2 linked regions of the Canis lupus familiaris genome follow. The protein of the gene in region 1 purifies or fractionates together with the protein of each later gene. This does not show direct contact. Links are inferred from orthologs where the notes say so. Each region holds a gene or a part of one and is shown in the gene's direction. Other genes may lie near its edges. The genes, in order: MAD2L1 and RNF8.

What was found.
Region 2: the proteins of MAD2L1 (region 1) and RNF8 purify together in Homo sapiens (co-immunoprecipitation; 3 studies listed by BioGRID and IntAct, with this or other methods). This does not show direct contact. The link is inferred for Canis lupus familiaris from reciprocal best matches to the Homo sapiens genes MAD2L1 and RNF8.

Annotation. Positions count from the first base shown.
Region 1 is NC_049239.1:56,408,632-56,416,546, forward strand, and holds the start of MAD2L1 (mitotic spindle assembly checkpoint protein MAD2A), read left to right. Parts: upstream 1-3,522; 5' UTR 3,523-3,642; coding exon 3,643-3,715; intron 3,716-4,798; coding exon 4,799-4,945; intron 4,946-7,915. UniProt on the Homo sapiens protein: Component of the spindle-assembly checkpoint that prevents the onset of anaphase until all chromosomes are properly aligned at the metaphase plate.
Region 2 is NC_049233.1:6,577,543-6,584,802, forward strand, and holds part of RNF8 (E3 ubiquitin-protein ligase RNF8), read left to right. Parts: intron 1-2,627; coding exon 2,628-3,368; intron 3,369-5,629; coding exon 5,630-5,692; intron 5,693-7,260. UniProt on the Homo sapiens protein: E3 ubiquitin-protein ligase that plays a key role in DNA damage signaling via 2 distinct roles: by mediating the 'Lys-63'-linked ubiquitination of histones H2A and H2AX and promoting the recruitment of DNA repair proteins at double-strand breaks (DSBs) sites, and by catalyzing 'Lys-48'-linked ubiquitination to remove target proteins from DNA damage sites.

The DNA of each region.
Region 1 (7,915 bases):
AGTCTCAACCAATACCAAAAGATTGGGATTGTCCCCTGCATATTTTCTGACCATAATGCTTTGTAACTAGAACTGAATGACAAGAAGAAGTTTGGAAGGACTTCAAACACGTAGAGGTTAAGGACCATCCTGCTAAAAGATGAAAGGGTAAACCAGGAAATTAAGGAGGAATTAATTGATTTCAAGGAGGAGGACGTGGGGCCACTGAGCCTCCCCGGGCTGCCCCATGTCCTTTCTCTTGTTACTGTGATGGATCATGGTGACTGATAGCCAAAGGGGACGCAGGTGGGAGATGGGCAAAATAGATGAAGAATATTAAGAGCGGGATCCCTGGGTGGCCCAGCGGTTTGGCGCCTGCCTTTGGCCCAGGGCGCGATCCTGGAGACCTGGGAACAAATCGCACATCGGGCTCCCGGTGCATGGAGCCTGCTTCTCCCTCTGCCTGTGTCTCTGCCTCTCTCTCTCTCTCTCTCCCTGTGTGACTATCATAAATAAATAAAAATTTAAAAAAAGAACATTAAGAGCTATAAGCATCTGGTTCTCAAATAAATAAGACACAGATATTTAGAAAGTACAGCCTATTCAATAGAGTCAGTACTATCGTGACAACTTTGTATGGGGACAGATGATGATGACACTTCTCTCCACTTCTCGTAGGGAGATCTGAGTATGCACAGAATTGTCAAATCACTAAGTCGTAGCCCTGAAACTACTGTAACATTGTGTGTTGAATGTACTTCAATAATATCAAAGAAAAGGGGTTTCTGATGGGACTCACAGTGGGTCCATGAAAGGCATTAAAATGGTCATTACACATATGAAGGCACCTCTGAAGAGGGGATAAAGATGCTCACATGACTTGATGTTAATTTTCAGAACATTTACTTGAGAGAGGGTGCAGTGGGGAGGGGTGGAGGGAGAGGGGGAATCTGGAGCAGACTCCTCACATACCAGTCACCAGGTCTGGGTGAGGACCACGTGAGGACCACAGTCAGCAGGTACAGGTGAGGCCCATGTGGGACCCAGAGCCACCAGGACCAGATGAGGCTCAGGTGGGGACCAAAAAGACCAGGTCCAGGTTGAGGCCCAGGTGGAGCCCAGAGGCACCAGGTCCAGGTGAGGCCCAGGTGGCAACCAGACTCACCAGGTCCAGGTGAATCCCAGGTGGGGACCAGATTCACCAACTCCAGGTAAGGCCCAGGTGGGGACCAAAGTCACAAGGTCTGGGTGAGGCCCAGGTGGGGACACAGTCTCCAGGTCCAGGTGAGGCAAAACTGAGGACCAGAGTCAACAGGTCCAGCTGAGGCACAAGAGGGGACCAGAGTCACCAGGTACAGGTGAGGCCCAGATGAGTATCAGAGTCACCAAGTCCAGGTGAGGCCTAGAAGGAGACCATAGGACCCAGGTCCAGGTGAGCCCCATGTGGGAACCAGAGCCACCAGGTCCATTTGCGGCCCAGGTGGGGACCACAGTCACCAGGTCCAGGTGAAGCCCAGGTGTGGACCAGATTCACCAAGACCAGGTGAGGCCCAGGTGGTGACCAGTCACCAGGTCTGGGTAAGGAACAGGTAAGGACCAGATTCACCAGGTCCGGGGGAGGCCCCGGTGGGGACCAGAGTCGCCAGGTCCGGGTGTGACCCAGGTGGCAACCACACTCAGCAGGTCCAGGTGAGGCCAAGCTGAGGACCAGTGTCACCAGGGCCAGGTGAGGCCCAGATGGGGACCAGAGTCACCATGTCCAGGTGAGGCCAGAAGGACACCACAGGTACCAGCTCCAGGTGAGGTCCATGTGCAAACCAGAGTCACCCGGTCCAAGTGAGGCCCAGGTGTGGAACAGATTAACCAGGTCCCAATGACACCCAGATGAAGACCAGAGTGACCAAGTCAAGGTGTGGCCCAGATGGTGATCAGAGTCACCAGGTTCAGGTGAGGCCAAGAAGGGGACCACAGTCACCATGTCCAGGTGAACCTGATGTGGGAAACAGATTCACCAGGTCCGGGTGAGGCCCAGGTGGGGAACACAGTCACTGGATCCAGGTGAGGCACAGGTGGGGAACACAGTCACCAGGTCCAGGTAAGGCCAAGCAGAGGACCAGTGTCACCAGGGCCAGGTGAGGCCCAGATGGGGACCGGAGTCACCAGGTACAGATGAGGCTAGAAGGAAACAAGGGACACAAGGTCCAGGTGAGGTCCTGGTGGGAGCCAGACTCACCAGGTCCAGGTGAGGCCATGGTGAAGATCAGAGTCACCAGTTCCGTTGAGGCCCAGGTGGGGCCAGAGTCACCAGGTACAGAAGAGGTCAAAGTGAGGACCAGAGTTACGAGGTCCAGGTGAGTCCCAGTGAGGAATAGAGTAACCATGTCCCGATGATGCCCAGGTAGGGACCAGAGTCACCAGGTCCAGATGAGGCCCTGGTGGGGAGCATATTCACTAGGTCCAGGTGAGGCCCAGTTGAGGACCAGAGTCACCAGGTCAGGGTGAGGCCCAGAGGGGTTCCAGAGTCATCATGTCCAGGTGAGGCTCAGGTGTGGAACAGAGTAACCGGGTCCCAATGATGCCCAGGTGAGGACCAGAGTCACCAGGTCTGGGTGAGGCCTAGATAGGATCAGAGTCACCAGTTCCAGGTGAGGCCCGAAGGAGTCCACAGCAGTCAGGTCCAGGTGGGGCCCAGGTGGGGACCAAAGTCACCAGGACTGGGTGAGGCCAGATGGGGACCAGATTTACCAGGTCCAGGATTTAGAGTTAGGGTTAGGGTTTAGGCTTTAGGGATTAGGGCTGGAGGGACTCCATCCCTGGTCTCCAGGGTCACACCCGGGCTGAAGGCAGCGCTCAACTGCTGGGCCACCAGGGCCGCCCCCCCCAATTTCTTTTTTTTGTGTGTGTGTAAGATTTTATTAATTTATTCATGAGAATACACAGAGAGGAGAGAGAGAGAGAGAGAGAGAGGCAGAGACACAGGCAGAGGGAGAAGCAGGCTCCACGCAGGGAGCCCGACGTGGGACTTGATCCCGGGTCTCCAGGATCACGCCCTGGCAGAAGGCGGCGCCAAACCGCCGAGCCACCGGGTCTGCCCCCCAGTTCCTTAACAGCTGCGCCCGCACACAGTCACCAGGCCTTCTCAAGCTGTGGCTGGACCGCCACGCACGCGGTTTCTTGACTGACTCCCAGAGTATCTAAGCAAGTTTCAATCGCCCACTAGGGAGTGGGCGGGGTCCCTGGGCCACGTTAAGATGCAACTGGCGCGTTCACATCACTCTGAAAATAGCTTTGAAACTGACGAACCGGGATCCTGGGCTGCTCACTCCGCAGGCCTCGGGAGCGGGCGTCAAAGCCAGGTTTTGCGGTCGTCTCGCCTCAGCTGCGACCCGGCGACCACAATTACAGGTGCTCGGTAGGGACCCTTCCGTGCCCGACAACCCGGAAGTGCCTGACCACGCCTACCCACTGCGCCTGCGCGAGGCGCCCCTCCCGCGAGCGAGGAGACTGGCGCTGGGCCTGCCGGGAGGCTCGTCGCGCCTGCGCGGAGGGCCCCTGGCGTGCTGCGTCGTTACTTTTGAAACGACTGGCGGGGAACTTCCGTTGGAGGCTGTGGCGTCGCCGTCCGCCGGGCAGCAGCGCGCTCCCTCGTCCCTAGGCCTGGCCATGGCGCTGCAGCTCTCCCGGGAGCAAGGCATCACCCTGCGCGGGAGCGCCGAAATCGTGGCCGAGTTCTTCTGTAAGTCCCCCTTGCGCAGGCCAGAGGGCGGGGAGAGCTGAGGCCAGGCCGCCCTGGAGGCCCGGCCCGGCCACGGAGGCGGGGGTCGGGGTCGGCTCTCTTTGCTCCAGCGCCCGCCGGGCTGGAGAATCTAATCTAGGAGGAGGCGGATGCAGGCGCCACCCCCGGGCGCCTCGCTCCTGGTGGAGCAGGAAGCCCAGGTGCTGCCGAGGCCCGCCTGGCGCTGCGGCCCCTCCACCAGCAGCCTTGCTTTATTTTTTTTTAAATTTTTTTAATTAATTAATTAATTAATTTATGATAGAGAGAGAGAGAGAGAGGCAGAAACACAGGCAGAAGGAGAAGCAGGCTCCATGCACCGGGAGCCCGATGTGGACCGGGAGCCCGACGTGGGATTCGATCCCGGGTCTCCAGGATCGCGCCCTGGGCCAAAGGCAGGCGCTAAACCGCTGCGCCACCAGGGATCCCAGCAGCCTTGCTTTAAACGGCGGATCCGACACGCTTCCCAGCCCGGCCCCAGCCCCACGCCTACGCCCACCCCGAGCGGGGTGGGGCCCCAGTATATCTTGAATAGCCCTTCCACCAAGCTTTGACCCCGGTACTGACGGCGATGGACTAGATTTAGGAAACTCTGTCCTGGACCAGGCCATGTTTGTACCCTCTGATGGAATCTGGTAGGAGAAGAGGAGGGAAAAGTGAGGGAGAGGCTTGCTTTGGAACATTGGACCGGTTAATCAGTTGCTAATCCAGACGCAAAAGCCTATTTCGACACCCTGTGATCACATAACCTGAATTGGGGCTTGCATTACCGTGAGCTTGTAGTTCTACTTTGACACTAGGTTAATGCAGTTTGGCATTTTTAGTTCCGCATAAACGCAGGTATCGTGTTCTTTTTACTTAGAAGCAACATTTTTAAGGATTTTCAGTGGCACTTTTCACTTACTCTGCTTTCAGCAAGACACCCACAAATGCACGTTTAGGCTTTTTCAGTTTGATACCAGGAATGAAACCGCAGCCACATCTAAATAGGTTTTATTTTCCAGAGTTGCAAAGTGAAAATGACTTTAACATTCCTTTTGTTTTCAGCATTTGGCATCAACAGCATTTTATATCAGCGTGGCATATATCCATCTGAAACCTTTACCAGAGTGCAGAAATACGGACTCACCTTGCTTGTAACAACTGATCCTGAGCTCATGAAATACCTAAATAATGTAGTGGAACAACTGAAAGGTATTTAATTGTTGAAAACCATTTTGAGTTTTGCAGGCTTTCTTGGACCCGTACTTTCTGGCATCTTGGTGTTCATTTTTCAGCGCTATACAAAGAGGTGTAAAACACTGCAATTTCAAATACAGTGATTCTCAATCGGAAGGAAGCAAATAATAAGTTGAAAGAAAGTCCACTCTTCCCTACCACATTTTGAGTGGGCTAAATACTTTGATGTTAGAAATCTGATCTGGCTTCACAAAACAATCTCTATCAACTCCCTTTGAAGTGATTTTTGCAGTTCGTGTAGCCAGGTGGAACAAGTTGGAATTTTACATAACTATGATGATGTTTATTATTGGAGAGAAATCCACTATATATTTTTAACATGATATATTTTCTATAGCTGCCTAGAGTTTAAAACCATCATTATTTTAAGATAAAATGAAATTGAATCCAGCCTGGGAACTAAACTTAAAAAAAAAAAAAAATACTACTAATAGAGTACCCAATAAAGTTTTTTAATGTCTTACTGTCTTCAATTGTCTTTGTTAAAATCCTGCCTGTAAGTTAGCCATTTCTATCTGAACACTCACTGTTTTTTCTTAGCTCAAGAAATTACTGAATACTTGTTGAATGAATACTTGTTCTCCATCTATTCTTTTTTTCCCCCCATCTTTTTCTCTACTTAGGATTCTCACTTCTAATTTTTCTGTGTTATAGGATGTTTCTCCCTGGCTCCTCATTTGACCTTCCAAAACTAGTTCCCAAAAAAATTACAGTAATTTTTTTTTAATTCCTGAGTCATATATATATTTTCTGTTTCAAGGGGCTTTATTTTTTAAATTCTATTAATCATATTTTTATCATCTTCAGGGCTAAATCACCCAGGGCTATACTCAGATTACTTAGCCTGAAACATAGAAGTAACTAAGAATCTATGTCACCTTAATTTGATGAAGAAGCAAGCCCTGCCTAAGCTACTGATTTTAGGTTGTCTCCTTTAAGACTACACTGATGACATTTCACCTCAGTTGTATGTGAGTTGTATGTGAATTAAACCTTCCGATTTAATTTGTCCCTTTTAGTTAGAATGGAGGAATTGCTCTTCTTAGAGGCAAATTGTTCGATCTCTTTGAATCCCCATCACTCTAGCCTTCCTAAGGACTTTACCCTAGTTCTTCTCTGGTATTTCTGACTTCTTTGTTTTGAGATATTTTCATTGGTTTCATCTGTCTTCAGTTTTAAAAGAAAAAAATTTCCACACACCCCAGATCTTTAAGTGACTACCCAATCTCTTCCTTTTCAGAGCAAAATTGAGAAAAAGCTGATTTTTGTCAAGGGGTCAGCAAGACTGACCGCCCATATCCAGCAAGTGGCCTATTTTTGTACTACCTGCAAACTAAGAATATTTTCAGATTTTTAAAAGCTAGTTTTTAAAAGACTACACAAGAGACCTAGGTGGCCCACAAGCCCTAAATATTACAAGATTGTTTTTGTCTCTTGAAAAAAAACAACTGTGTATTCTTGAGTATATTATCCCAAGTTCCAAGATTAATTCAGGGCTCATTATGAGGCCCTCTTATTATAATCTCTAAGATGATTTCTGACACATACATAACTTCACTAACAATCTTTGTGTAGTTGACTCACAAGCATACATCCAACCCAAGTCTTCTCTTTGCTCATATAGTAAGTGGCTCCCTTGATATCCACATGTGGCTATCCTAGTGATACTTGAAAACTAAATGTAAGGGGGTCCTGGCTGGCTCAGTCAGTAGAGCATGCAACTCTTGATCTTGGGTTGTTAGTTCCAGCTCCACATTGGGTGTGGATATTACTTAGAAATAAAACCTTAGGGCAGCCCAGGTGGCTCAGCGGTTTAGCGCTGCCTTCAGCCCAGGGCATGATCCCGAAGACCTGGGATCGAGTCCCACATCAGGCTCCTGCATGGAGCCAGCTTCTCCCTCTGCCTGTGTCTCTGCCTCTCTCTCTCTCTCTCTCTCTCTCTCTCTGTCTCTCATGAATAAATACATAAAATCTTAAAAAAAAATGAAGAAAAAGAAAACCTTTAAAAAAAACTGTAAGCATCATGTCTCATTTCCATTCTCTTTCTCTCAGTGAACGGATCAACCTTCCAACCAGTGGTATAAACCAGAAAGTTGGGAACTATCCCTGAGTATTTCCTCTTCCTTAGTTTCATTAGTATCCAATAAATCTTAACAATTTTAACCACGAAATCTCTGGACTCTACCTATACTTATCTATCTCTACCAATTTATCCTTCTATAAGCCTTCAGTACCTCTTGCTTGAGGTAATCATTTAGCATCCCTAGATCCTCTCTTCCACTCTACTTTCCACACATCGCAGGCAAAAGTATAGTCTGAAATATAAGTTTAATCACATCACACCCTATACAAAGTAATGACTTCCCTGGTTCTTGAAGTATAAGTTCTTTAATTTAGTCCATGTGGCCTTGTGTGGTCTGACCCCTATGTATCTTGTACAAACCGACCTTGTTCATTCTCCCTTTGTATTACCCTTTCAATCCTCTGGTCAGATACTTTTCGCTTTTCAGTATTTAAGACCTGTACATTTTCTGTATCCTTTTGCATATTTAATGGTATTTATTTAGAATTGAAGTCGAGTGAGAATTCCCGGAGTCAGATTTTCCTATATTCTCTCATTGGATCACATACTGTACCTTCTTAGCATTTATTACAATTAAAATTTTACATTTATTACTGCAGTGATTAGGTTAATGCTCATCTTCTGCAGTTTACCTTGGATTAGAGTATACTGCATGTTCACTACTCTGTCCTTAGCATTCAGTATCTGGTACAGATACTGAGAATTGAAAAACAGGAGCTAGGTTATTATGAGGCAAGTTTTCTGTACAGGTTGGAGGAGTTCCAAAATACCAGTGGTAGGAATTTGCTAAGGATAGAAAGTGAGACCTGGGAAGAGAGTTACTTTGTAATGCAGTGAACCAA
Region 2 (7,260 bases), on another chromosome or scaffold:
GGCACCTTGTGAACAGACCTGATTCAGGGCAAAGTATACCACTAGATGTCACCAAGGAATGATGAATGGATAATCAGAGGGATCCAAGGGTAGAATGGGATGGGAACATTTTGAAGTTTATTTTCTGGATCTAAAGGGCTCTGAAAGAGGCAGGTTACTATAGAAGACCAATTGGAGGGTTTGTAGTATCTCTTGAAAGTTTACCCCAGCTTTTTAGGAGTTTCTTGTTTGCTCTAGACTTGGACTGCTTCTGTAACCTTCTTATTTAACTTTGTCTTTGAGATTTTTCTTAAATATCTATGCCATGGCAATAGGTGACCTCCTGTGTTATATTACTTTCCCTGAGACCTTTTTCCGGTGTCTAATCTATAATCTGCCATAGAACTGTTCTCAAAGAGAATCTTTTGGCCTTTTTATTTCTGCTAGTGTTGTTTCAGAAGTCAGCAGGACTGATCAGTCTTGTTATTTCTCATGCTGAATATGAATAGGAAAATTGGGAGAAGGTTAGCCAGATAAGCCAGGTTAGGCCCAAAGCAGTGAGTTAAAGCCAATCTTTATGTATCTATGTTCATTTTTCTCTCCCTTTCCCCAATCCCAACCAGGTAATATAAAACAAGAAACAAGGGTCTAGAGCTGAGATCCAGTCTCTATAGTCTTTATACTCCGTGCCTTGTGGTCAAGCCTCCATCCCCCATATTTGGGTTGACCAGATATCTTTTCTAGCTGTGAGGAAGTAGCTATAATTACTAACTTTAATGTAGTCTTAGTCCCAATTCAGTTGTTGTGACCTTCATCTCTGGCCTGTCTCCCAAATATAAGTTCTTAATATGAGTTAAAATGTCCACTTGTCTTCTTTTCTCCTCTTTTCTTTTTCTTTTTCTTTTTCTTTTTTTTTAATATATTTTTTTTAATTTATTATTTATGATAGTCACAGAGAGAGAGGGAGAGAGAGAGGCAGAGACATAGGCAGAGGGAGAAGCAGGCTCCAAGCACCGGGAGCCTGATGTGGGATTCGATCCCGGGTCTCCAGGATCGCGCCCTGGGCCAAAGGCAGGCGCCAAACCGCTGTGCCACCCAGGGATCCCTCTTTTCTTTTTCCTCTCTCCCTCCCTTCTGAGTTTATTTAAGTCATCTCTACACCCAGCGTGGGGCTCAAACCCATGACCCCAAAATCATTAGTCGCATGCTTTTGTGACTGTGCCAGCCAGGCGTGTCTGCCCCTCCCCCACACTTGTCTCTTTAAACTTTAAATCCTGCATTTGTTTCACATCTGTTTTAGAACCTGCCATCTCCATTTAGCATCTCTTGAGATCTCTAGCCAGCTCTTCATGATAGTCCTTTACATTTATAGGTTGTGCTGTGTTATCCCACATTTACTTATGTGTGCCCTTGTGTTTTCCTTTCCATAGTCAGCTGCTAAAAGTTGTTTTCATATCTTCTACTTTTGTGCCCAGTGTATTTACCTTGCAAGATGCTGAGCATAGAATTGAAATGACTGTTGATAAGTCGATTGAGCCAGAACATAATAATAGTAGTGAACACTTATATAATGCTTACCATGTGCCAGGCACTTTTCTAAGTATATTACATATGTCGTCTCATTAAATCTACACAAACTCCATGAGGGAGAGACTATTATTATCCTCCATTTTATAGATGTGGTAACTGGGGCATGGAGAGGCTAAGAAAGTTACCTAGAGTCACACAGTTATTATATGATGAAGCCAGATTACAAGTCTAGGCAGTGTGACTCCAGCATCCATGCTCTTAACCCCTACACTGTGGTTAATTTAAATCACTAAAGTAAATATTTTTCAAGCATTTATTATATGTGAGTCACTGTGCTTAGTGTTTTACATGTATTATTTCATTCATTCCTCACAGAGCAGTATGAGTTGGGAACTGTTACTATCCCTATTTTGCAGACACAACTGAGACACGGAGTTTAAGTAAATTGCTGAAGGCCAGGCAACTAATGAACCCAAGGTGGTGCATTTGGGCTATGAACTCAAGTCTGTCTGAGCCAGAGCTCCAGTTCTTAACCATGAGGCTGTGTTCCCCACTGGACCTCTGGTGCTATTAATTGGGTTAGATCCTACCTGCAGTTTGACCCCAGTATGAGGTACTGATACACTCTTTTTAGGTTTATGTGTACTGAGAAGTGCTTTGCTCACTTACCAATGTGTTCAGGAGCCACATTCAGAGACAGTGCTTGTGTGACTTTCCTAGCTAAGCCTATCTTTTGAACCTCATTATTAGATGCTGCTTCCTTCGCTAATAGCCATTTTTCCAGTCTTGGGCCATTGCCCCCAGTTTAGGTCAATAGGAGCTATTCAATTGCAGTTTATTTTAATGCTGCTGCATTTGAGTAATTCATCTGCTAGTAATAAGGTGATTCCTGCCTGTTTTACCAGCAGTTTTCTGTGGAGGCATGAATGTGAAATGTAGGTAAAAAGCCAGCACTATTTGAAGAATGATATTTCTAAGGGTGATGGTTTATGAACTTTTCCTATTTTTTCTCAAGGGTTTTCCGTCTGAAAAGGCAGAAGGTTTTGCAGCAGCAGGAGACAAATTCCGTTAAGAGGAAAATCATGAAGCTTATTTTGTCTTTCTTTCCCTTTCTCCAGAGTCTGAATGGTGTTTGGCTGAACAGAGAACGTCTAGAACCTTTAAAGGTCTATTCTATCCATAAAGGAGACCACATCCAGCTCGGGGTACCTCTAGAGAATAAGGAGAATGCGGAGTATGAGTATGAAGTTACTGAAGAAGACTGGGAGAGGATGTATCCTTGTCTTGCTCCAAAGAATGATCAGATTATAGGAAAAAATAGGGGTTTGAGAACTAAAAGGAAATTCAGTTTGGATGAATTGGAGGGTCCTGGAGCTGAAGGCCCCTCACATTTGAAATCCAAAATAAGTAAAGTGTCTTACAAACCTGGTCAGCCGGTGAAATCTCATGGAAAAGGTGAGGTGGCCAGTCAGCCTTCTGAATATTTGGATCCTAAGTTGACATCTCTTGAGCTAAGTGAGAAGGCCACAGATGCTCATGTTTACCCTTCCTCCACAAAAGTCGTAGCGCTTCATCATAAGAAGCAGAAAGCCTCAAATCCTTCAGCATCTCAGAGCAGCTTAGAGCTGTTCAAGGTGACTATGTCCAGGATTCTGAAGCTGAAAACACAAATGCAGGAAAAACAGGTAGCTGTCCTGAATGTGAAAAGGCAGACCCAAAAAGGGAACTCAAAGAAAATTGTGAAAATGGAGAAGGAACTGCAGGACTTACAGTCCCAGCTGTGTGCAGAGCAGGCCCAGCAGCAGGCCAGAGTGGAACAGCTAGAGAAGACTTTCCAAGAAGAGGAGCAGCATCTCCAGGTACCACACATGAGAGAAGGACACCAATGCTCCTCAGGGGTGGGTGGGCCCTTGGTGAGCCTATGGCCACAGCTCACTGTTTCTGTGTTAGAAACTACATGCTGAGTGCTAGGGACAGGAGATGGAATGAGGACAAAGGACTTTGAGGTGGGAGAAGGGGATAGAGTACAGGGTTAAGGCTTTAGCATGATGATCAAGAGCCAGGGTTTGGGTGCCATGATGCGTAAGGTGACTGTTAGAGCCAGCCAGGATATAACTCAGGATATAAAGCTGAGACACGTGAGAACTGAAGCAGATTCAGAGAGAGGTTGGATGAAGGTCAGGATGCCACAGAATCATAGTACATTCCAGTTAAACCAATAGTGATCCTTGCCTTTCTTTTCTGTGTCAAAGCCAAACCACTTAGCCCAAGGCAGCAGTGGGTCAGATGGTAACCCTTGTACCTGCCCTTGTACCTGGCCCTTGTACCTGGCCACTAGCTCTGATAGTTAACTCTGTAGCTAACTTAGAAGTGGGAGTCTAGAAAGGCAGAAAATGTTTTTTTGTTTCTATCCTGAGCATCCAGTGCGGGAGGGGAAGGTATACTGTGACTCTGTTGTTGAGTTGAGTGGTAAGCCACCTTCCCCAGTGCGTTGAGGGGGAAGGTAGAATAATGATTGTCTTAGCTGTGTCAGGGTAAGACCAAATGTGTCCCCATCCCTGAGTCATTTACCTAGATGACAAGCTCTTGCACAAAGCTTCTAGGCTAGAGCTGATCTTGGTCCCTGCTCAAAATGTCAGTTCCCATCTGGCAAGAAGCACACGTTTTACTCCTACCTACTTGCTCAGGTAATACTGAATGTCAAGAATTCCCCATTGTTGACTTAGAAATAAAAAGGACCAATCAGGATTGAAGTGAATAAGCTTTTCTGTTTTGTTTACTTTGCTCAGGGCAAGGAACAACCAGTAGTGTTGGCTTATTTCTGAACAATTTATAAATTTCATTCTAATCTCTGCTACCCCCTTGAACTGGTAGCATTAGTAAAGGCCATGGATTAAATAGGTCTTTCTAAGGGTATACACTGTTTGCTTATGTCATACCTTTTTGCTTCGCTTGCCAGCCTGGACTAGTTCTTGAAGCTAATAGAGGGAGGTTCATCTTTACATATTTAGTGTATGACACGCTCCCCAGAGCAGAACCCTCTTTAAAGGCTAATGTGTCCAGGAACAAGAGTTACTATTAATTAAAGTTTGTGGCTGCTTTGGGCATGCTTCAGGATATAGCTGTAAAATCTTTTCTATATTAAAATGGTAAAGAAAAGCAGAAATTCTCTTGGGGTATTTGAGGGTCATATATATATATAGCTCATGGTGAAATGTATCTAGTTCTTTGTTTATGAGCTGCTTTTCCCTCTGCCACCAAGCCCTAAGGATTTATTCTACTCCTACTACTTGTTCAGAAGCTCATTTAACTGTTGCTTCTTCACACAGATTTTTTTTTTCTTTTCTTTAGTACCTACTGTTGTCTGGTGTACTATACTTGGGAGTTTAGGTGGTTATAAAGATACTTAATAAATGGTTTTTGCTATTAAGAAATCAATCTTGTTGAAAAGACAAGATGTATTATACACATAAAATAATCAGAATAGTTTTAAGTGAATATATTTAAATTAGAGGATAATTTCCAGTTAGCATATTAAATGGGTAGGTAATTCTTAAAGAGGAAGGGCCCAGAATGCCTTATAGAAGGTGCTGGACATAGTGTAGTGGTGATGTGGAAGGCATCCACATCAAAGGGGTGGTTGGAGGAAACAGAGCGTAAGTTCCAGCAAGGAGAATAAGTGATAGAGAATCACACTAAGAGATGAGGCGGCCAGAATCTAGGGAAGTAATGTGATGGAAATTATGAGTGTCAACGTAGTGGGTTATATCTGAGTTTAGGTTTTTGATGGCTTAGAAGCTCTCAGTTTACATCTCTCTGGCAGTCATGGTGTTAGCCAGTGAAGGAGACTTGGAGTATTAGCCCAGGGTTCTTTCCAGAACAACCTGAGTGGTAGCTTGACGGTGACAGCCCCAGGGTGTCCAGTGCCTGAGTAGTTCACTCTGCTCAAATCCCTTACTGCCAACAACTTGAAGTAAAACAGGAGGTTTTCCACCCGCCCCCTGCCCTCTGTTGTTTGTAGATGCTTACAGAAGACAGTCTGCTCTGCCTATTGCTAGATTTTGTTTCTCTTCTGCCCCTCCCTGCAGGGAAACTTTCTATGTTGTTTTTGGCTTTGCAGGGTTTGGAGAAGGATCAAGGAGAAGAGGACCTGAAGCAACAGCTGGCCCAGGCGCTGCAGGAGGTAACTTCTCTCTTGCCGCTGTACAGAGATTGTAGTGGGCTGGGTCTTCACATGGCCACTGGCTGCCTCTTCTGCTTAGCACACACCTCTGCGGCATCTCCAGTCTGCAAACAGCAGCTGCTCACACCATCAGGTCAGAGATTTGGCCTCACAGACATGCCAGACCTCAGCATGAAAACTTACATCTTCATCTGAGCAGGCATTGCTCTAGTGAAGATGGGACGAAGCCTGTAGCAATTAGGAAGCTGTCTGGGGAAGTGGCTGCACTTCTAGAAAGGTGAGGGCAGCAGAGGGGAATTTTAAGCTCTGACTTGGCCACCAGGACCTGCAAGGGCCTTTATTACCTTACTGTCCCTGAGCTGAAGCCATCCAGAAACCATTCAGGAATGTTCCAATTAAGTGTTTTAGGTCAGGTTGAGAATGCAGTTTAACAGTCAGCAAACATAGTGATTCACTGAAGGGCAAAGCTCACAGGTATAAGATGCCCCTCAAAGATGGCCTGCCGTTTATTTCATGTAACTTGACTATCAGCTGATTATTTTTCACAAGCTGTTTTGCATCTTTGAAGCCTGCTCTGTCTTCTGTCCTTTATATGTTCATGATCAGTAGTTTGATGCAAGGTTTGTCAGGGAGTTAGTGGGATGGTTTAAATCTCCTTGAGAAGAGTGAGTAATTGCATTAGAATTTATCCTTCTGTTCTTTTATTGCATATCTACCTCCCAACCTTCTCAGAGTGCTAACAGCCCCATATTATTGTAAGCTCAGAGAGGGATGCCTACTTTGATTTCCCTAAGGGGTACACAAATAGCCTTGAAAAGAATTGGGTGAAAATTAATTCAATCTTTTTGGAATTTTATTTTCTAAGCTTGTTTATTTTCTAGGGTGGGAAGCTAGGCATAATCCTTGTTTAGAGCATTATTAAATTGTATTGAGATACTGTTTTGAAATTGACTGGAAAAGAGTAAGATTCTGCTACTTGGAAATCCCTGGGGATCACAGAGTACCTTGTACCCACAGCCCCTTAACCCACCCCTGAGAGGCAGGAAAACATTTAGCATGAGGTACTTGGCCAGTCTCTGTTCATTAGTCTAAAAATGTGATACTTTTAGGTCATGGTTATAATAACATGCCTAGGGGACATAATCACTCTCTCAACCGAAACAATGGTGGTTTTTCGGTCCACTCTGTTGTTCCCTCTGTAGCAATTCTTTTTTATTTTCTAGGCAATTACAAAAACTTGCATTTACATAAAGCTTTAAAAACTTTTCCAGATGCTTTCTTATCTGTTATTTCATTTCTTAACACTGATGTAGGAGGGGCACCTGTTTTCCCATTTTTATAGATGAGTAAGCTAGGCACATACATCTAATCAGTAGTCAAGATGAATGCCTTCTGATATAGCTGCTTTTTTTGGGGGGGGGGGAGACCCACATTTTATTTTATTTATTTATTTTTTTAAGATTTTATTTCTTTATTCATAGACACAGGGAGAGGGAGAAGCAGGCTCCATGCAGGGAGCCCGATGTGGGACTTGATCCCAGGTCTCCAGGATCACACCCCAGGCTGCA